4 linked regions of the Drosophila melanogaster genome follow. The protein of the gene in region 1 interacts with the protein of each later gene in a pairwise test. Each region holds a gene or a part of one and is shown in the gene's direction. Other genes may lie near its edges.

Region 1 (3,018 bases):
CGTCACAAAGATGATTATGCTCATATATTATCGAACTAATGGGGGGAATTCAAAATTATATAGAGCTGTAAAACAGGAGCCAGCTAATAAATCGGCTAGTATCAACTCCTTATAAATAGCCTCTTTACGCAATACTATTGAATACAGAAAAATAAGCCATCAAAGTCAGCATTATTTGCAGTGTTTGCCGACCACTTCCCCGATAAGCCATACATATAGAGTTACGTAACTGGAGATCGGCGACTCGAGTGGCCGGGCTTTGGCTTTATATAGCTAATTAACTGGACGATCGACCAGGAGCACTTGTGTGCAACTCGGCAAAATACTATACTTCAGATGTGAAATTGCTAGATTTCTAGAATCGATCAGATTTTCCCCATTCATAAACTGGGTCTGCGACTGTGGCTAATCAGCGCAATACTGATTGATCGATTGGAAGTGCCATTGGACAATTTATAGAGCGATCCATAAATCATAATCGACTGGTATTTATTGTGCGCTATTCGCAACTACTCGAGCCCAGCTTTTAGGGTTTCCGTTCCAGCTGGAGATCTTTGTGGGGACGCAAGGCTTCTGGAAACCGAGACCCCGAGAAAAAGATCACATGATAGAACCCCCCCATATGATTATGATGATTGCATAAAACTCGAAAACTCGCGACTTTGCAAAGAGAGCGCGACTCACAGATACTCTGGAGAGTATTATATTCACATGACAAGGGTTCGACTAACACACACACACACTGCGAACGTAGTAGGTGCGTACCTGAGTATCTCAGAGATACTCGGGGCTTACGAAAGAGATAGCGCTACGCGTATCTGCCGCTCTGACTTTAGCTGCGACTTCTGGCAGGTGTTTGCACAATGGGTCCCATGACAGGTGTGCCCCGCAGCCCCCAGTAAGCTCACTTTTCCGACCAGTAGCTGTCAGCAGCCAGCATCACGTGCCAAAGTGCATTCAAATTGGGCTTAATTGCACATACTCCCTGCTGCCAAAGCACGTGCTTTGGATGGCTAGTTTACAGGGGATATGGGATATATACGGGTGGATAACCCGTGGCACAGCTTTTACACCTCGAACCCGCCGGGTTTTTCCAGTTGCTTCGAGTTTTTTCGAGTTTTTCGCTTACCTTCACAGCTCCGAAAACGCTTTTTATGTCAAAGACACACCAGATTCGATTCCCCGCGAGTGCGAGCGATAAATTTAGAACTTGTTTGTTGCCGAGCGAGAGTATCTTTATTCGAATCTGAATCTGAATGGAGCGCAGCACACGTCTGCTCACCGCCAGCGATCGACTGCGTTTAAATTTGGCACTCGCTGCCGCGACTTCGGTTCGAAAATCTCGCGATCGCCTCGAAATGCCTCGCACTCTCTGTTACTCAGCACACACACCCTGTGAATTCAGGCGGCTCTCTCGGCGCGGGCATGCCAACTATGTATGATCGGTGACCGTTATCGCAAATCAGAAATCGACAAATACCCGTACTAAAGTCAAAATCCTCGAGTGCTACATGTGTCTACCAAAAAAATGGTCAGTTTCCAAAAACCTAATCACTCTTAGGATCACCCAATTAATCACCATTAATATGTGATATTTTTGCAGTAACTAGATGTGCTTGTTGATAGTGAGGAAGCCAATCTCAAAAAAAAACCAATTGAACTAACACTTCTTACAATTTAAACTTTTAATTAGAATTTAGAATATAAAATAATATTAAGCTAATTTGGTAACAGTTTCATTTTAAATTTCAACTGTTTTAAGTGCTGTAAAGTGCATAAAGTGTTAACAGGTGGCTCCACGCACAACGCGTTAGTACCTTACCAAATAGCGTTTTCACTGCACCGCTCACCACGGCCACACTCTGCCTTTGTTTTGTTTTGATATTCCCACTGCATCGCATTTAATTTATTAAAAGCTGTTACCAAATTATGTCCTACGCCGGCTATAGCCAGCTGCCCAGCGGCAGCGACCAGGAGCGCAGGCAGGCGCAGCTCGCGGCCAGCACCTACGACGTGCTACAGCGGACGACGGACAGTATCCAGCGATCCAACCAGATTGCCATCGAAACGGAGAACATGGGGGCGGAGGTAATTACCCAGATAGTAGCCATTAACAGGGCTAACTAATGCTCGCTTACGCATCAACAGGTACTCGGCGAACTGGGCGAGCAGAGGGAGTCGCTGCTACGCACCACGCGCCGCCTGGAGGACGCCGATCAGGATCTGTCCAAATCGAGGGTCATCATTCGGAAGTTGAGCAGGGAGGTGCTCTACAACAAGATCATCCTAATCCTGATTATCATTCTGGAGGTGGGCATACTCGTCGGCTTGCTGGTGCTGAAGTTCGCTCACCTGTGAGCCAATGCCATTCTATTCCAAAGTCGTAACCACCAAACAGGCGATGGACTATATATACCTATTAATCGTTACGAATTCTTTGTCCTAGTTAATAAGCTTATAAATGTATATACTCCACTAAAATGCACTTCCAATTCAAAAAGGTCAGTTTTAGGATATACCCAGCGATGAATCGGGTGGTTGATTATGTTTATTCATGTTGGCTAAAGCGTTAATGCCTTAGACGTCTATAATATGTATTATGGTAGTAAAACACAGATAAAATCGGGTCTGGACATCGGAAGCTCTGCACTCCGAAGAGTTTAGCCCAGTCCCAACGCATATACATACGTATGCTATAACAATGATAATATGTAGTTCGTGCAGCACGCTATGCCACGACTATTTGGCAAAAAGCAACGTTAATTACATTCAGTGGGCGACAACGAGATAGTAGAACATCCTGAACAATGTCTGCATAATACTTGATCTATGATAAACGGTTACATATATGTAAGTATGTGGGCATCGCTTTGGGGATGCTTCTTTGTTCGAGAGATGTTTGGGATTTCGCAGAGCTGCGCCTCCTCATTCCTTTGGTGCAGCAGCTCTCCGCTTCAGTTGCCTTCAATTGTCCTTCGGAAGAACGATGGACCAGCCGAAAACGCGGCGATCGAAGCC
Region 2 (4,272 bases), about 13 Mb from region 1:
TACATAGCTTGTATGGTCGGAATAAGCCCCATTGTTTTATGCATGCAAACAAAAACATCCGAAGGAATGGGGAGCACCTTTCGCGAAATGCGAGTGACGCCCTACGGCTGCATCTGCAAGGATACTTCCCGCTTTAGCTTCAAGCTAAAGGGCTGTCAATCCGGCATGGGATACCTTCTGTTGGAGTTCAAAGATATCGACATTTTCCGCCAAATGCAATCAGTCTTAATCATCAATGAGTAGTAGAAAAGTGACACGAACACGCTATTAGCACCTGGTAACCTACGCATGTCTTTCAGCACTACATGGAATAGATACATCTGTATTAACTGCAGTAATGCCAACAGAAAGAGTACTATTGCCTCAAAATACCCGTTTAAAATATAAAAGGTTACATAAAAATAAAAAAGCATTTGTGTGCCTGCAACTGACTAAGTAGACAATCAATCAAAGTTCTAGAAAAATTTAGAAAAGTTAGATTGCAACTGAGGTTTCACTACCTTAAAAAGGGCTCTATAGACGCCCCCATTTGTTGCAATGCATTTAAGCTAAGTGGTTCTTACGACTGCCTTTATGCAAGGCACTTTCTAGATAGAATACATAATACATACATAGAATACATAACTTTCGATGAAAGCAATCTGAAAGTTTCGAAGTACCCTGAGTTTAAATAATTTTAATTTGATGGTTTGCTTTTGGGGTCTTCAATAAAAATTCAACTAAGTTATAAATTACAGAACTAATAGTAGTATGAAACTGCAGCAGTCGAGGTCCTTAGGGAGCACTACAGCTCCGAGTGGGCGTACTCGTCGTGCGTTGAGCTCTTCTCCTTGGGCACGATAAAGAGGCCCTCCGCCGTGGTCCAGCGCGTTCCGTGCTGCGGCTTGTGGACGCCAACGATTTCCATTTGGCCGGAGATGGGTCTGCCATAGGAGCGGCCGGACATGCCCAGGTACATGCCGGTGTCGATGTGGCGCAGCCTAACGTGGGCACTGCGCATCCAGTTCTCGTTGGAGCAGACCACCTCCCAGTGGTCGCCGGTGTCGCCGAGTCCATCCGTTCCGTACGCGGACACCTCCTGCTCGCCTGAGAGCGGCGACGAAAAGTGGTGCGAGTGCAGGTTCTTCTTGGTGGACAGGTGCTCCAGTCGCACGGTGGATCCGCAGGCGATGGGCTCGCCCCTTTCACAAAGCTCGCCGGTCTGCGCCTTGATCACCCAGTGGCTGTTCACGTCCTCCTTCTGCTCCACGCCCGTCACCGACTGCTGCCCGGAACCAGATCCGTACTTGACGTCGTGGGAGTGCAGGCGGAAGGCGTAGTCCGAGTTGAGCAGCTTCAGGATGGAGCCGCAGGTGACCACGTTGGATTCGGTGGCTGTGTTCAGCAGGGTCAAGATAGAATATAAGATAAGCATTAACTATGGCCACGGAAGGTTCAGAAAGAGGGGCGGCCAATCAGAGAAGACCACATAGACGCGACTTTGTTTCAGGTCGCCACTTACCGGCTCCCCTGGAAATGCTGCCTACCAGCGCCAGTCCTGTAAGAAGTAGTATGTGCTGCATCGTGTCCTGTTCTAGTTATCGTATCCTAGTCCGTGGACCTAAGTCAGTCAATCTGTACCGGCAATTACGGTTGAAATCAGCGTTGCACACGCAAACAATTGCTATTTTTGACGGTGCTGGTGTGACCAGGCTGCGGTAAAATCCAAATTATGGACTCACCGAAAAAAATAAACATAATACTATAACAAACTCCATATTGCTGTAACTTATTCCATTAACGGAAAATAGCTTAATGTATATAATAAATGTTGAATAAAGGAAAAATATAATTAGTCTTTTCAGAGAGCAGATTACGAATTTGACGTCACAGATTTATTGATACGCCTAGAAACTTATTTCTTGATTGTTTTAGAATTAAATGAACGTTATATCGTGAAGGAAATAATTAGTTATTAATAATTAGCCTAAAAACTAATTGCACCAAAAGGAACTAGTTCGATGAGCGACAATTTGTTGGTATTTTCTGTGCACCAGACAAGTACGGTCACTCTGCGAAATTGCAAGGGAATTTTCTCCAATAAAAGGCAAGAAAACTGAGGAAAATTGAAATTAAAGAAAAATTAATGGCACACAAGCGCCTGTTCGTCTACGCGGTGCTACTGGTGATATGTTATTTGGTTGGCGTGACATGGGTATGATGACTGGCCACATCCCGTGACTGCCCCACTAATCCGCTTTCATTTCCCCCTCAAACAATCAACAAAGGCTGAGACTGCGGCGCAGACATTCCCAGCGATCGGCACCAACAGCAACAACAACAGCAATGCTCAACCTGCTCCTGTGCCTGCACCTGCAGCTCCAGCGGCTGCAGCTCCACTAGCCAAGCAAGTTTCAGCTCCCACTGCCGCCCCTCCGGCCAAGGTCATCGGCCAGCCTGTGCTCGCTGCTCCAGGCAAAAATTCTTCCAATTCCAGCAGCACAACTGAGTGGTAAGTGGCACTGCACTGGCAGAAATTGCCGCATCTGGAAACTTAAAGTCTAGTCCATTTGAGCAGTTTTAAAGCTGCAATCCCTTTCGTCCCACTGGATTCTACTACTTTAAATTCAATTTACGTTGTTTGCGTAGGCTTCAAAGAATCATAGTTCATGTATTGCACAAATGTATTCACTTTTCAGCTACTAAATGTATAAGGCATCTTGGTATCAATGAGCTTAATTTGTGATTCTGTTAGGTTGGAGTTCTTAACAACCTGCTACACGTTACCATTTCAGCGTCTGTGCCGGTGCCCTGCTGCCCCGTTTGGATGCCAATGGCAAGGAGCTGCCCATATGCGCCGAGTGCAAGTGCTCCCATGTGGCGAGAAATACGACGCTGATAAAGGTGAGTCAATTCGAGTGCTCAAAAGCCGTCCGTACTTAACCAGCTCTCTCCCCCATCCAGGTCGTGGTCATTATTGTGATTTGGATCATCTCCATTTTAGTAATATACATGCTCTTCCTGATGTGCCTGGACCCGTTGCTGAACAAGCGAGTGAAGGCGAACTACCAGGAGCACACCAACGAAGATGTACATAACAAGCTTTCTAGATACAAGGGCATTCAGTATAGCCTCCTAGTTACAGCCCAAGGCGAAGATGATGAAGATGACGATGTTGATGCCGAAGCGGCTCAACTAGTTGGCAATAAAGAAGCACCACTCTTTTGAATAGATTTTAATTTCCACAACCACCTTTGTTTCATTTTGCGTTATAGATTTTGTTGACTTTCTAACCCACACCGTCACTTCATTAAGACAGTAACTAACACGGCCAGATCTTGGATCACCTCGACTAATTCCACATTTTTCCACCCTTTTCTAACCAGGATGAACCAACGCCGCCCCTGCCAGCCGTCAACAACCAGGAGCTCAGTGCCAGAGCCAATGTCCTCAATCGTGTGGGCCACCAGCAGGACAAGTGGAAGCGGCAGGTGCGCGAGCAGAGACGCCACATCTACGACAGGCATACCATGCTAAACTAACAAGGGGTTCGGTTTGCAGCTGGCGGAGATTAGGAGGCGCATGGGCGACTTAAGACACGTATTCCAAGCAGTTATCCTTTGCGAAATTCCCCTTTGGATCAAATTGATTATCTGTATATTTAGCCAGATTTTATGTTAATTAAAATAAACCAAAATATGTTTGTCAGGAGTGTTTGCATATTAATTAATAAGTTGAATGCCGGGAGGAATAACCAACAAATCCACTAAAATAAAACTTTTAATGATAATTGATGGTTATAATTTGGGAAAATAAGGAACGTAAGACCGTAATGGTGAGTCCAAGTTAGATTTGGAAACTCCCTTGGGCTTCTTAGTTTGACGCCTACTTTTTGATTCCATCAGTAGAGATTAACGAAAGAATAACTCGAAGATAGTTTCTATCACACAATAACCATAACTTTAAACGTATTATTTTCAGCCACATTTATTTTTAATAAATCATGTAACCACATATCCTTAGACAAGTGTTTTTTTTTAATGCAAAACCGCCGAGCTAGACCTAAACTAAGTTCATTCAGAATCGGAGGCTCTAGTATCCCTTTATGGTTTCGGCGAATGTCCAGTTTTCGTTAACTTGGAAGGGCCCCTCCACGCCGCATCCGTTGACGCTGCACACGCCCACAGTGTATTGGGAAATATTACGAGTATCGCGGTAGTAAAGCACCTCCATGCATGTGCGGATCTAGAATATAAGAAAATGGTAGGGTAGTTAAATAATGAAGAGTCCCCC
Region 3 (6,114 bases), on another chromosome or scaffold:
CGGGAAGCGCGAAAATATAGCATGGCCCACGAACTGGAACTAAGTAAGGCATGGGCTTAGAAAAATTAATTTAAAAGGGGTTAAATTAGAAAAAGGTAATTTAAGTAAGTTACTACCAATAGATTTTTATTTTTAAGCAGTTTTCAGATTTCAAAAATATACTCCAAACTTCATTAAATCTTATAAACCGTTTATTAAACATAAAAGTAAAATCTGAAATAAGTCGTTACACAATGCAAACTCGAAACCAGTCAATTTCTGGCCGTGTTCTCCTTGCCGCGCTCCCGTTTCTGCAGCTGCAGCTCCCTTTCGGCCATTCCCGCCTTCACCCAATAATGGGTCATCACATCCACCAAGGTGATGCGGCCCTTGCTTTCCTTGCGAAGCAGCTGCAAAGATGAAATCCCTGTTCAATAAATGGATCTCAAAGGAAACATCTTCCAACTCACCCCGCCAATCAATTCCTTGCAGCCCTTGGACAAATGCGATGGGTAGGAGATCTCCATGCGCCGGATCTTGCTGTAGGTGCTCTCCGTGCTGTTCGACTCGAAGGGCGGACAGCCGACGACGAACTCGTAGCACAGAATGCCCAGGCACCACTGGTCCACCGAGTCGTCGTAGGAGTTCCCATCCACCATCTCCGGCGGCAGATAGTCCAGGGTGCCGCACAGAGTCCTGCGCTTGTTGTTCGGCGTGTGCGCCGACCAACCAAAGTCGGCCAGCTTAAGGTCGTCCGTGCTGGTTAGCAGAATGTTCTCCGGCTTCAGATCCCGATGGATCACGTTGTTCAGGTGACAGTAGTTGAGGGCATTCGCCACTTGGTAGGTGTACTTCGCAGACCGCGGTTCATCGAATCGATGATTGGGTGCGCCACGCAGGTGCTTGAACAGCTCGCCCTCGGACGCAATTTCCAGGGCCAGATAGATGCGGCTCTCGTCGTGGAACCAAGTGAGCAGGCGCAGGATGTGCGGGTGCTTCAGTCGCGACTGGATCTCGATCTCGCGTAGAACCTGACGCTGCACGCAGCCCTTGCGCAGCTCCTCTTTGAACATCACCTTCATGGCCACCAGATAGTGCGAGTGGCGCTCCCGCGCCAAGTAGACACGTCCAAATTTGCCGCGTCCCAAGTGGGCGCCCATCTCAAAGTCCCGGGGACTCCAATCGTATCTGGAGGGAGCAGATTAAGTACGGATTGATACATTAGCTTATTGCTTGTACGTACGGCTGTCCGTATGCGTCGTGGGACATCATCTTGAGGCACATATTCTTGATCGGCTCCTGGTGCTCCTCGGGCACCTTGGCCAGCAGGTGCGGCAGGTGGTTGCGGTTGGCGTGCTTCGCGCGGGAAAGCGTCATGGCGCTGACTTGTTTATAATATTATGATTTTTAAGTAAATTAATTATTTTAAGTTGTATTTTCTATAAGCGTCCCTTTTGTTTGCGCGTTTTTTTCGAATGCTGAGATTAGTGTGACCGCATGCTAGAATCGAGTTATTCTGTGACTCTCAGTGAAGCAGTTAAGTCACTGTATTTTTAAATTCGGTCAACGTATAATAAAATATTTTCATGTTTCTTAAATAAAAATTAATCTTCTAGTTTTGTTCTTATATTGTGCATAGTTATTATAATATACGCTTCTCACCCGTAGGAGAATAGTTTGAGTGAAGGGCATAGAAAACTGTTTAATTATTATAAACCATAGCTACCAGTGCTCAAATCATATCAGATGTTTAATAGATTTATATTATTAGTTGTCTAAATTTATTTAAATATACAATATCAATAATATTTATATGTATATATAAATAAAAATGTTTTGCATAATATAAGTCTCGAATACCTCTAACTAACCATTGAAAATGAGCTGCAAAAAATCCTTTGGATTTCCCGACTATTCGCAATCTGGCCACACTCGCCATTAGTCATTTTTTACACAATAAACGTAAATTAAGCGAATTTGCAAGCGCTATTCGGAAGTTTTTAGGCTAATCGAAAAGATATAAGCAGCCCAAAAGAGATTTGGAAAAAAGCGAAAAGGTCTACGCAGGAGGAAGTACACCAAAAGCGTGCTTTCAGTCGCCGTGACGCACCGAAAATCGATTGGAGAGGAAAAACAATAGGGAAAACAGACAAAGATCAACTGATTTGGATTTATTGACCCCAGGGCAGCGCAGATTATTGGCAGATAGCCGAGCGAGCGGTTTGGTCATAAAGATGGGAATCTTTGGGCAGTCGTCGCCATTCGACGCCGACGTGGGTGAGTTACCACTTATCGTTAAGCTGTTGTGTTGGCCGATTGGACAAGCCGATGTTCCAATTGGACTGCACAACGGTCCAATATGCGTTTCATAGTTTTCTATTCTTATCTGGGGTCTAAAAACCCGCACACCACACCATTTTCCCCTGTTTTCCCTATGAACCCGATCCCCCGATTGAGCAGACAACAAAGAAAGTCATGTGAGATGCTGTGCGCAGCTCTGCGTCGTTCGTTGAACTTCTTATTGGAGTTGTTAGATGGCAGTCGCTGACCTTGAGTGACGTAGCACCCGCAGCCCCTCACACCCCCTCCGTTTACGCAGCCAACCCCCTCGCCATCCCTTAATGCAATTTAGTTAGTTTCCGATTGTATTGATTTTCTTTAGCTGCAATCAGTTTTCGAAGAAGCTTATCTTTGTTTTGCTGTGACTCAGAATATAAATTTCTATTTGACTGATAAGCTAATGCGGTTCATGCCTTTCTTGTTTTATAGAAAAGGCCACCAGCGAAACTAATACCAACGACAACTGGTCTCTGATTTTGGATGTATGCGACAAGGTAACGACCAATCCCCGCCTGGCCAAGGATTGCCTGAAGGCGGTGATGCGCCGCATGGGCCACACCGATCCTCATGTGGTGATGCAGGCGATTACGCTTTTGGACGCCCTGTCCAACAACTGCGGAAAACCGCTCCATTTGGAGGTGGCTTCACGGGATTTCGAGACGGAGTTCCGCCGCCTGTTGGCCAAAGCACAGCCAAAGGTTTCACTGGTGAGTACAAACAGTTTTAACTCACTTATTTCATTTCTAATTCCAATTATGATTCACAGAAAATGCGCCAAGTGCTGAAGAACTGGGCTGAAAACGACTATAAGAACGATCGAGAGCTCGACTTGATACCCGCACTCTATGCCAAGCTGCGCCAAGAGGGATATGATTTCAAGAATCTTGGCGATAAGACTAGCAAGACTGTTGCCGAAAAGGCCGCCGCCCTGCCCAAAGATCCGAATGTGGTCAGCAGCCAGCAGGAAGAGGATGACATCGCCAAGGCCATCGAATTGTCGCTGAAGGAGAACAAGGGCAGTCCAAAGACTGGGAGTGTAGCAAGTACCGGCACCGCCAGTGCCTATCCCTCATTGTATCCATCTTTCGCTGGAACCGGCTCGAGTGCACCGAGCGCCGAAGCCAGTTCCGCACCAGCGCCAGAGCCGAGAAAGGTTCGAGCTCTGTACGATTTCGAAGCTGCCGAGGAAAACGAATTGACCTTCTTTGCCGGCGAGATCATTCATGTGCTGGATGATAGTGATCCAAACTGGTGGAAGGGATACAATCAACGCGGCGAGGGTCTCTTCCCCTCGAACTTTGTCACTGCCGATCTGTCCGTCGATCCCGAGCGGCTGGACATCAATCAGCAGCATAAGTCGGCCGCCGCAGCCGGGCAACGAGAGTTGGATTCCGCTGCGGCACTGCAGCAAAAGACTGAAGCGGCAGCAGCTGCCGCCGCAGCTCAGCCTGTGGAGATCGACGAGTCAAAGATCGACCGGCTGCTGCATTTGCTGCACGAGGCGAATCCCGAAGATCCCTCGCAGGACAGCGACGAAATGCTGCAGCTGGAGCAGGAGGTCCATCAGATGGGACCGCTGATCGATGCCGAGCTGGAACGCGTCGACCGCAAGCACGCTCAACTGACGCAGTTGTCCAGCGACCTCGTCGACGCCATTAATCTGTACCATACCTTGATGCGGGATGACCGTGCTGCGGCTGGACATTTTGCCGCCGCTGCTGGCGGCTTTATGCCTGGACTTGCTGGTTTCCCGGGTGCCGCTCTGTACGGTGCTCCAGGTTATCCTGCAGCGGGTGGATTCCCACCGGCCCAAAATTATCCGGGCATGCACTCGATGCCATATGGCCCCGTACCAAATCCTCCCACTTCTGCTCCATCTCAGGCACCTGGAGCTCCTGGTGGCTATCTGGGTCAACCGCAGGGGCAGGTGCCACTGCCCTATCAGAACGGACATGCCGCACAGATGAACTGTTAGTACAAAGGATTAAAATACTTATTATATTTACCTATAATAACATTTTCAATCGTCTTTCCAGCGCTGCCAGCCCATTTGACTCAACCCACTGGCACTGCACCCATGCCCCAGCCAATCTACACTCAGCCGACTCCCGTGACCACCCAACAGCAGCAGCAGCCACTTCCACAGCACCCTCAACAGCCGCCACAGCAGCAAGGCCAGCAGCCCCCACAGCATCCCCAGAACAGCTACCACATCGACCCCCAGTCACAGTACGCCCAAGTTCCGCCCGCAGTCACACAAATCCAGCAGCCGCAGCAGCCACCGGCTCCGCACGCTTACATGTCGCCGCAGCATCAGCAGGCACCGCCACCACAGGGATACCAGCCAGGACCAAATCTTTATGGACCGAACGGATCGCCGGCCGTCGTCAACCCGCAGAGCTACATGTCCCCACAGCAGCAGCAGCAACAACACCCACCACCACACGATCAGTTTAGTCAGCTGCATCAGCAGATGGCCGCCATGTCCATGGCTGGCGGACCGCCAGTTGGGGCGCCCGGCTATCACATGCAGAACGATGCTGTCAAGAACAACATTCCTATCTACCAGCAGCAGCGGTAAGACCGCTGCACTAAAACAGAGACCTTCACTTGGTTCGCTTTGAATTGCCCGAGCAACTTTAAGCTTTGTCTTCATTCTGACAAAAGGATGTCATCGAGTATGTTAGTTTTGGCCAACTTGCCGAGAAACGGAAGTTGTCAAATCTCTGCTATGTACATTTTGAGAAGAGCAATTGTCAGTGAACCAAATATGTCGACTATCCTTTAAAATAACGAAAGAAGCCAAATTAATATCAAGTATACCCTTACGAGTTTTCGTTTTTTGTGTTTATATTTGGTCCAACGAAATGATATATTTTTCTGGAAGTAAGGCAATACCAGTCGAAAAAGATATATATACCATATAAATAATCTGTATTCAACAGCACGTATAACTTTGTATTTAGTGCAGGGGAGATAACTATTATGTATTATGTTTATTGTACGGATTATGATAAATCTAACGAAACGAATCACATTCATTAAAATCATAAAAATATACTAAGTAAACACAATGTCTTTGAAAATTGCAAGTCAAAAGCTTACGGCTACCCTTCTCAAATATTTTCAGCACTAGCAATCGATGTGGAATAATTTTCAAGAAAATTTTGGAAATCAGATGAAGTTTTTAGAAATTTTTTTAGTGATAAAGAAAGCAGATTATTTGTTTATTTCTCACTTGAATTGTTTGTTTATTTTTATGATATTTATTTAAATTTTCTTATCGATGCTATAAAACATGAAGGTAAAATTCTTTATGTAGGCTTCAGAAAGAGTAATCTGCATTGCTTTATAAACTGAAACAATTCAGCACGAGTTTTGGATTCGCACCCCTTTTAAACTTAACATGCTTAGAGCTCCATTCAACTGCGCTCATCCCCTTTTCGGAGAATACCTCCCTCCGCTCGTGTTAGTGCGCTTTTCCGATGAGATTCCAATATATTCAGACAAGCTTTGCCACATGCCACTGTCTCGCAATCCGGCAAACATGCAACAATTTAGCAAAATTCCATCCGGCATTCGGTGGCACAAATATCCTGTGAAATAAACTGTCAAAACGGGGCAGACAGACAGTATCTCAGCCTGGTAAATAGAAAATGCCAATGAATGCGGAGTGTCACCTGGAGTGAAAGAACGACGAGCCAGGAGACGGGCGAGAGCAGGCTATGCAAATATTTGCTGATTGTTGATTTCTATGGGCTGGCAAGTGGGTGGTTGTGGGTGGTGTTGTCTAGC
Region 4 (7,210 bases), 6.5 Mb from region 1:
CAAAAGATCGTGGGCGTTAGTGGTTTGGAGGCACTATTAAAGATTCAAATAATAAAGCCTGTTGAAATCGTTATCAATTATTTACTGTCTGCGCTTACTCACATAACTTCAAGAATATATTTACAGCTTTATATTAGCAATAAAATAATTTCGATCTTATTTGGTTGCCTTCAATAAATAGGGTGTAACATTTATTACAAATAGAGTAAATAAATGTTTTGAATTACAAAGCTTTATGAAGAGCTGTATTAACTTTAGATATCAGTAAAGATAAGCATTTCCAGCCACTACCCATAGCCCCTTTATTGTATTTCTTCTACTTCTTACTCGTACGCACCGTTTATGGCGCCCACAATGTCGTAGGTCACATGCGGCGGATAATCGGAGAGTATGTCCAGGGCTGTGCGTCCGTTTCCATCGGTGGCGTGTACGTAGATACCGGCCTTAAGCAGAGTGACCACAACGGACTTTTTGCCACAGAGAGCCGCCTCGTGGAGAGCGCTTCCAGCGTTGGTGAGTATGTTGACATCGACGCCGGCCGCCAGCAGTGTTTCCACCACCTTCTTGTGCCCATTCCTGCTGGCCAGGTGCAGGCAGGTGTGCGTGAATATGTGCTTTATGGGCATGCAGCCCAGCAGCTCTTCATTGTCATCTTCCAAACGCTTATACGGCAATATGAGGTCGGGATAAACACGGAGCAAGGTCTGAACCACCTGAAGGCGTCCGAATTGCGCTGCCAAATCCAGAGCCGTTTGAAAGCTATTGTTGCGTATGGCAGGATCGGCGCCATAGGACAGCAAAATGGCCACCACGGCATTGTGGCCATGTTGGGCGCCTGAGTGCAGCGGCGTCTCGTTTTCGATAGTCTGGGCATTCGGATTGGCTCCCGTAGGCGAGTGCATCAACAGCATCTTGACGATGTCCTGGTGCCCAGCCCAGGCAGCCAGAAATAAAGGTGTCGAGCCACGTATATCAGGCACATCCAACAGCGCGTTGTGGGAGAGTAGTAGCCGTACAATGTTGCTATGCCCATTTAGACAGGCGTGATGCAGCGAAGTGTAGCCATTCATGTCCTGGCAGTTGATGCTGGGACTTCGCCTAAAACTGTAAAGGAAAACCTGTAGTAAACTACCTGGAATAACAACAGTTGCTGCTGGTGACTCACCTGGACAGCGGGCCATGTCGTTTGCTCGAGTGCTCCAGCAGTTTGTCCACCGTCTTGATGTCGCCGGCTCGCGAAGCCTCCAGCAAATGCTGATCCTTGCCCATTGCTCCTCCGTATCCTCCAACACTAGGTAGCTACACAGGAGCAGAAGAACACATGTCAAGTTGTTTAGTTTAGCTTTTGCTCCGATTCCAACACAATGAGATCATCGCGAGCATACAGAATACCACAGCCCCAGCCCCACTCACACCCCCAACAAATCAGGTGGCAGCCAGGCGGAATCAGCTGTTTGGCCCTAGCACGCACAGACTGATAGCCAAATATTTTTTTTATACAAAATAGCTGTGAACATTCCACAATAGTATTTTTGTTTATAATATGGAGGGCTGAATGGTGGCTCCGCCTCTTCCAAGGTCATTCCACGGCATTGGACTGCTCCAATTGGAATTTCTTTGTCACCAGCTAGGTTTTATCTTCAAGTTTTAATTTACCGGCTATGTCCACGTCCGTTTCGAAAGTTTACAGCCATAAACGAATAACTATATTTGCCACCGCGATAAGCAATCAACAAAGCTGTGATCTAAACTTTATTTACGTGGAGCCGATCGAGCAATTGTTCGTTACTAATTGGCTAGGGATGGAGGCGTGAGGCGACGACGAAACACACGACACTCACGTACAATCAGTGATGATCAGTATAAAATGAAAGTGTGATTAGTGAGTTGAATGCTAATGCTGAATGCCTTCAATATATTATTATATTATATATTATTACTTATATACGCCCTTTATTGTTTACAATATAATGCCAAAAGTTTTTAGCTACTAAACTTTAGCTAGGTATTTGATACTGCGTGGAATAAGCTAACTACCCAACACTTGCACAGAACAACCGATATTTCCGAGCTACCATCTCTAGCTGCACAAGCCAATTTTTTTATTTTCCCTGGCAAAAATTCACGTTTTTAACCGAAAATTTGACTCACAGCATCATGGAAACCTCGAGCTCCAGTCCAGTAAAGCCCAGGAGAAAAGACAAGGACGAAGGTAAGTGGAAACAGTGAGAAATCTGCCCCAAAACGATAAAGCGAGGTGTGCCGGCACATCGGTGCCTTTGATTTTGCCTTTGCCTTTGATAACGCGTGTGTGAGTGCTGGTGTGCGTAAAAAATAGCCAAATTAAAGTTTAAGGTATGCCCCTGTTTGCCTCGCTTAATGCAAACCCATTCACTATGTTGCCCTTGCAGATGGTCGTGCAGAGCAGGAGGATTCCGCAGATCAGGTGGGCGAGCCGCACAGGAAGCTTTTGCGCCTGGGCGACATCCTTGAAACGAACGAAGTGCTCCTGAACGAGGCGTATCAGCAACCGGAACTTACCAAGTGGCTCCAAACAGCCTGGACGGAGGAGAAGAGCCAAGGGACCAAGGAGACGCAAACCGGTGCTCAGGTCTTCTCGGATCCCTTTCAAATCTGCCTTCTGCCCGGCATGCTGGAGAAGGGCCAAAGCCAGGCGCTGGTCGCCGAGATCATCCAGAAGGTGCAGTGGTCGCGCAAACAGATGGATTTGTATGAGTTCTACCAGAGCGCCGACCTCTCCAACATGCCCGCTTGCCGACTGTTGACCAACTTCCTGCAGGTGCTGCGCAAACAAGTGCGTCCCTGGCTGGAGAAGGTTACCAACCTCAAGCTGGACTATGTGTCCGCCTCCTGCAGCATGTACACCTGCGGCGACTATCTGCTCGTGCACGACGATCTGCTTAAGGACCGACAAGTGGCCTTCATTTACTATCTATCGCCTTGGGAAGGAGCGGAGGAATGGACGGATGAGCAGGGCGGATGCCTAGAGATCTTCGGTAGCGACGATCAGTGCTTTCCACAGTTTCCAGTGCAGCGAAAGATCGCCCCCAAAGACAACCAGTTTGCCTTCTTCAAGGTGGGCTCGCGCTCCTTCCACCAAGTAGGCGAGGTTACTACATTCGACTACCCGCGTCTTACCATAAACGGATGGTTCCACGGCGATACCAATGAGGCCTTCGTGGCCGACTCCCTGCGCGCCTTTCCCCGCCTGAATTACCTGCAACCTGATGGCCTTAATAGGCCACCGCTTGGCCTGTTTCTAAACAACGTGTATCTAAAGGGGGCCACCCGCCGGAGCATCCAAAAGCGGATCGAAGAAAACTCCGAGATTTGTTTATACGAGTTCTTCAAGCGAGAGAAATTCGAATTGGCCCGGTCGCAGCTGTTGGCCGATTCGGATACCTTGAAGTGGCGAAGACAGGGACCCGCAAACGCACACAACTATGAAGTGCTGGATTTGACAACAGCCAGAGGCACCATACTGGAACTACTGCAACTGTTCCGTAGCCACGCCATGTTTGATTTGCTGCGAGATTTCACCGATCTGGATTTGGCAGGCACCGATGCCGAAAGTCCAACATGCAGCGTGGAACTGCAGCGCTGGTCCCACGGCAACTACACAGTGCTGGGCGACGGTTTGACCAGCGAGGAGAACACTTTGGACCTGGTTTACTACCTGAACGCGGCAGAAGGAGCAGCGGTGATCACATACCTCGCACCCGACGCCGAAATGCCAACAGCAAAAGCACCGACGGACGGAAGGCGATCGGACTACGATGACGAGGAAGAGGACGATTCCGTTCTGCTTACTATCACGCCGGTGGACAACGCCCTGAACATAGTATACCGGTGCGAGGGCACCACCAAGTTCACCAAATACGTGTCGCGCAACACGCCCCTTGAAAAGGGACCTGTTTTTGTTATTTCGTGCAGCTACAAGGAGTAGCATGTGATCCTGTTTCACAACATGCGCACAATTACTCGTCAAGGACTATTAACATTCATACCGTTCTCCTGTACAGAAACTAATTTACATAATAAACTTTATAAAACACAAATCAAAATATTATAGTTTTTTGTCGAAGTAATAAAGTGTGAACCCAAAGAACGCTTACGACCGCGATAAATCAGGAACTAATCAAACACTTCTCTTTAACTTTACAGATAAGTTCCGGATCGGGGCTACACTAGCATTTATCGTGGTCATCATTGGAATTGGCGTGCCCATGTGGTGGCGCACCACCACAGTCTACAGGTGAGTCAACCATGTCTGGCGGCGTTTTTCCAATTATACCTAAATGTTGCAATCGCAGAGTCAATTTGCCCTCGACGGAAATTTTGAGTCTGAGTAAAATTCCGATCAAAACGGCTGTGCAGGTGGCCATCTACACACAACAGACCAGTCGTGGCCAGTTGCTCATCGCCGAACTGCAGAACGCCTTCAGCGACAATGGTAGGTGCAAATTCATTATCCATTCATATTTCTAAACGGCATGCATTTCCCATTAGAAATATGGTCTGTGGAATTCAAGCAGCTATCTCCTACGCCAATGACCCAGGAAGCACACACGCCAGCTGCTCTGGAGAAGCTGTTGCTGGAGAACCATGTCCAGAGCGTTGGCGACTTCATGTTCATCGAGTGGCCCAAACTGCAGGAGGAGCTGCTACTAACCACCGAAAGATCGGCACTGATGCGAAGTGATACACGTGAGTCTATTGCAATGATACGGAAACACTTGTTGGCTTTTTATGTCCGAAGTTTTTAAGGTCCTCGATAGTATAGTGGTTAGTATCCCCGCCTGTCACGCGGGAGACCGGGGTTCAATTCCCCGTCTGGGAGAAATGAGATTTTCATTTTTTTTTTTTTTTCAAATCTTTTATTGTCTGTTACTTCACCTTCTATTATTGAAATAATTCTAAAAGTAGAAGTATAGCGCATAATTTATTATTTACATGATAATGCGGTTTTAAAAAGAAATATATATTTTATCGGTCTCCCCGACGGGGAATTGAACCCCGGTCTCCCGCGTGACAGGCGGGGATACTAACCACTATACTATCGAGGATTACGAATGCTTTCGAATACTTTTAATGCCCAATGAAACCCTTTCCTTAAAATTTCAAGGACTAAGCTAAAATTACTCTAGTAAATTAAAGATTAGTTAGCTAAACTAATAATGCTGTTTTAACACCTCCTAGCTTCCAACAAAATCGCCCAGCTCCTGCACGCCAAGATCCTGCAGACGTATCGCATAAATCAAATTTTAAGTACCGATGAGCGGATGGGCGCCAAGTCGGAAGCTCCGCAACCAGCCTACGATGTGATTGTCTCTGTCCTGAATCCGAAACCGAGACTCACCCATGCCAAGTGGAACATAGCAATGGCTGTGAAGAGTAAGTATTGAAAAACCACAAAAAGTCTTCACTTACTTATGCCAATTTACATTTTCAATAGCTTACATTGAGCCCTGGTTGGCTAAGGTGTCCGGTGTTTCCAATTACACGGTGCGATCGCAGTGGAAGTACCGGGTGGCCATCGAGGCTGATCTCAAGCAGGTGCGCGACCAGAGCAAATTGGGGCGACACTACGCCCTCCAGGAAACCGCTCTGCCTCATCTGCTGACATCGATTGCCCAGAATCTAAGCGCCAGCACCACCGACAAGCCGGCCATCAACCTGGTGGTGTACATTCCACCGTGCCACATCGCTCCGCTTCACATCTACAACAGCAAGGATCAGCGGCTGACGCGGAACGACGTGGATGCCTTCATTTCGCCACCCTGGGGTGGCTTCATCATTGCTAATCCGCCAGAGCATGTGTGCCTTGCGGCCATGAGCGATCAGGAGGCAGTTCCCTACCATGTCAGCACCACGGACAACATGCAGGTGATGCTGGACCAGCTGCACAAGCTGCTCGACATCAGCAGTGAGCTTCAGATGGAGGGCGTTAAGGTGGTGGATATCGAGCAACTGGAGCCACGTCGCTGGGAGTATGAAGCATACCTAAGACGCAGTGCCATTCGACACATATCCACAGCAAGCAGCACGCTCCAGAGCCTCATCAAACTGTTGGGTACGTTTTTAAAGATACCAATGAAGGATGTTTAGTCAACATTTTTATTATTCCTATTTCTGATATTATACAAAACTCAGGGCTCTTCGACAATTAAAAATGAACTATTTGCAATTTCCGCTTTATAATTAAGTAGCTTTTAAAATGGTTGACGCTATTTTTATTGAATCTGTACTGCTTGAGAAGTTTAATAACCACCTTAATTGGACAATATTATTTAATAATCGCTTCCTCCTCTCGTTTAGATCAAATCAGCTACATTGTGATAGACGACGAGGTGGGTGCCGCCATTACAAATTCCTATGCCGACATCTTGGCTGCCAAGGCTGCTCTTTTGGAGCACCGACTGGCGGACGCTTCGGTGCTGGCCAAGCGTGCGTTCGTGGCCTCGGAGCGCGGATTCTTTGACGCCAGCCTGCTGGCGCAGTTGTACTTCCCGGACGAGCAGAAGTACGCCATCTACATTCCACTCTTCTTGCCCATCATGGTGCCTGTACTGAGTTCCTTCAACATGCTGCGTGGTGTGCTGCAGGCCAGACGGAAGGAGAAGCAGTCGTAAACGAACCATAACCAAATAGTATCATCCCTCATTAAAACAATATTTTCTTTATAAGCTGTTACTGGTGCGATTTATTGGTTCACTTCGGTTTTACGTAGAACATGTCATCGTCAGGGCCTCGCGGTCGATTAGATTTGCCAGTTCTATAGTATTCCAGCATATTCAAACTGTAGACTGCCGCGCATAACAAGTAGGTAGAAATTATTCGTGCCAACATTTTGGTCTATGAGATCTTAAAGAAACCTGGTGGAAATGGATTTAAAACTCAAAAATTTTGATCTGTCATAGAGAGTTGAATGCTTTGAAAACAAGTCCACGTGCCACTAATCTTTCCCAAAGTTTTCAACGTTGGGAGTGCTGTATTTTGATGCCTTGGCTGCTGGCGGACCAGCACGGTCCGCTCAGCGTGTGAACGGCGCGTATAGGTCAGGTTCAGCGGCGAGATCGCTGCCGGATGAATGTCAGACGTGGCAGGAGGCCAGCCAGACACGCAGTCGGTGGGTGAGTCATATATTGCCAATAAGTCTTGTTTCCGACTGATTTCAAAATATCACTTA

Evidence for each region.
Region 2: the proteins of Vti1b (region 1) and CG1161 interact in a two-hybrid assay, tested with the Drosophila melanogaster proteins (one large-scale study listed by BioGRID).
Region 3: the proteins of Vti1b (region 1) and Stam interact in a two-hybrid assay, tested with the Drosophila melanogaster proteins (one large-scale study listed by BioGRID).
Region 4: the proteins of Vti1b (region 1) and PIG-S interact in a two-hybrid assay, tested with the Drosophila melanogaster proteins (one large-scale study listed by BioGRID).

Annotation. Positions count from the first base shown.
Region 1 is NT_033777.3:18,397,863-18,400,880, forward strand, and holds Vti1b (vesicle transport through interaction with t-SNAREs 1b), read left to right. Parts: upstream 1-1,846; 5' UTR 1,847-1,929; coding exon 1,930-2,088; intron 2,089-2,148; coding exon 2,149-2,358; 3' UTR 2,359-2,477; downstream 2,478-3,018. Other genes in the region: Wdr37 (WD repeat domain 37), read right to left, coding at 2,965-3,018.
Region 2 is NT_033777.3:5,353,060-5,357,331, forward strand, and holds CG1161 (uncharacterized protein), read left to right. Parts: upstream 1-2,032; 5' UTR 2,033-2,125; coding exon 2,126-2,194; intron 2,195-2,267; coding exon 2,268-2,491; intron 2,492-2,774; coding exon 2,775-2,883; intron 2,884-2,943; coding exon 2,944-3,069; coding exon of another isoform or gene 3,070-3,207; exon of another isoform or gene 3,208-3,365; coding exon 3,366-3,521; 3' UTR 3,522-3,689; downstream 3,690-4,272. Other genes in the region: CG11999 (uncharacterized protein), read right to left, coding at 785-1,374, 1,502-1,562; Prosbeta7 (proteasome beta7 subunit), read right to left, coding at 4,072-4,224.
Region 3 is NT_033779.5:10,856,622-10,862,735, forward strand, and holds Stam (signal transducing adaptor molecule), read left to right. Parts: upstream 1-1,914; 5' UTR 1,915-2,213; coding exon 2,214-2,256; intron 2,257-2,748; coding exon 2,749-3,026; intron 3,027-3,085; coding exon 3,086-4,289; intron 4,290-4,355; coding exon 4,356-4,900; 3' UTR 4,901-5,385; downstream 5,386-6,114. Other genes in the region: aurB (aurora B), read right to left, coding at 252-389, 450-1,167, 1,223-1,356.
Region 4 is NT_033777.3:24,912,711-24,919,920, reverse strand, and holds PIG-S (phosphatidylinositol glycan anchor biosynthesis class S), read left to right. Parts: upstream 1-2,056; 5' UTR 2,057-2,157; coding exon 2,158-2,212; intron 2,213-2,411; coding exon of another isoform or gene 2,412-3,967; exon of another isoform or gene 3,968-4,081; intron 4,082-4,185; coding exon 4,186-4,276; intron 4,277-4,334; coding exon 4,335-4,474; intron 4,475-4,530; coding exon 4,531-4,728; intron 4,729-4,789; exon of another isoform or gene 4,790-4,861; intron 4,862-5,015; exon of another isoform or gene 5,016-5,087; intron 5,088-5,220; coding exon 5,221-5,415; intron 5,416-5,476; coding exon 5,477-6,094; intron 6,095-6,235; exon of another isoform or gene 6,236-6,339; coding exon 6,340-6,653; 3' UTR 6,654-6,705; downstream 6,706-7,210. Other genes in the region: CG11168 (uncharacterized protein), read right to left, coding at 338-1,104, 1,166-1,269; sud1 (sudestada1), read left to right, coding at 2,158-2,212, 2,412-3,967.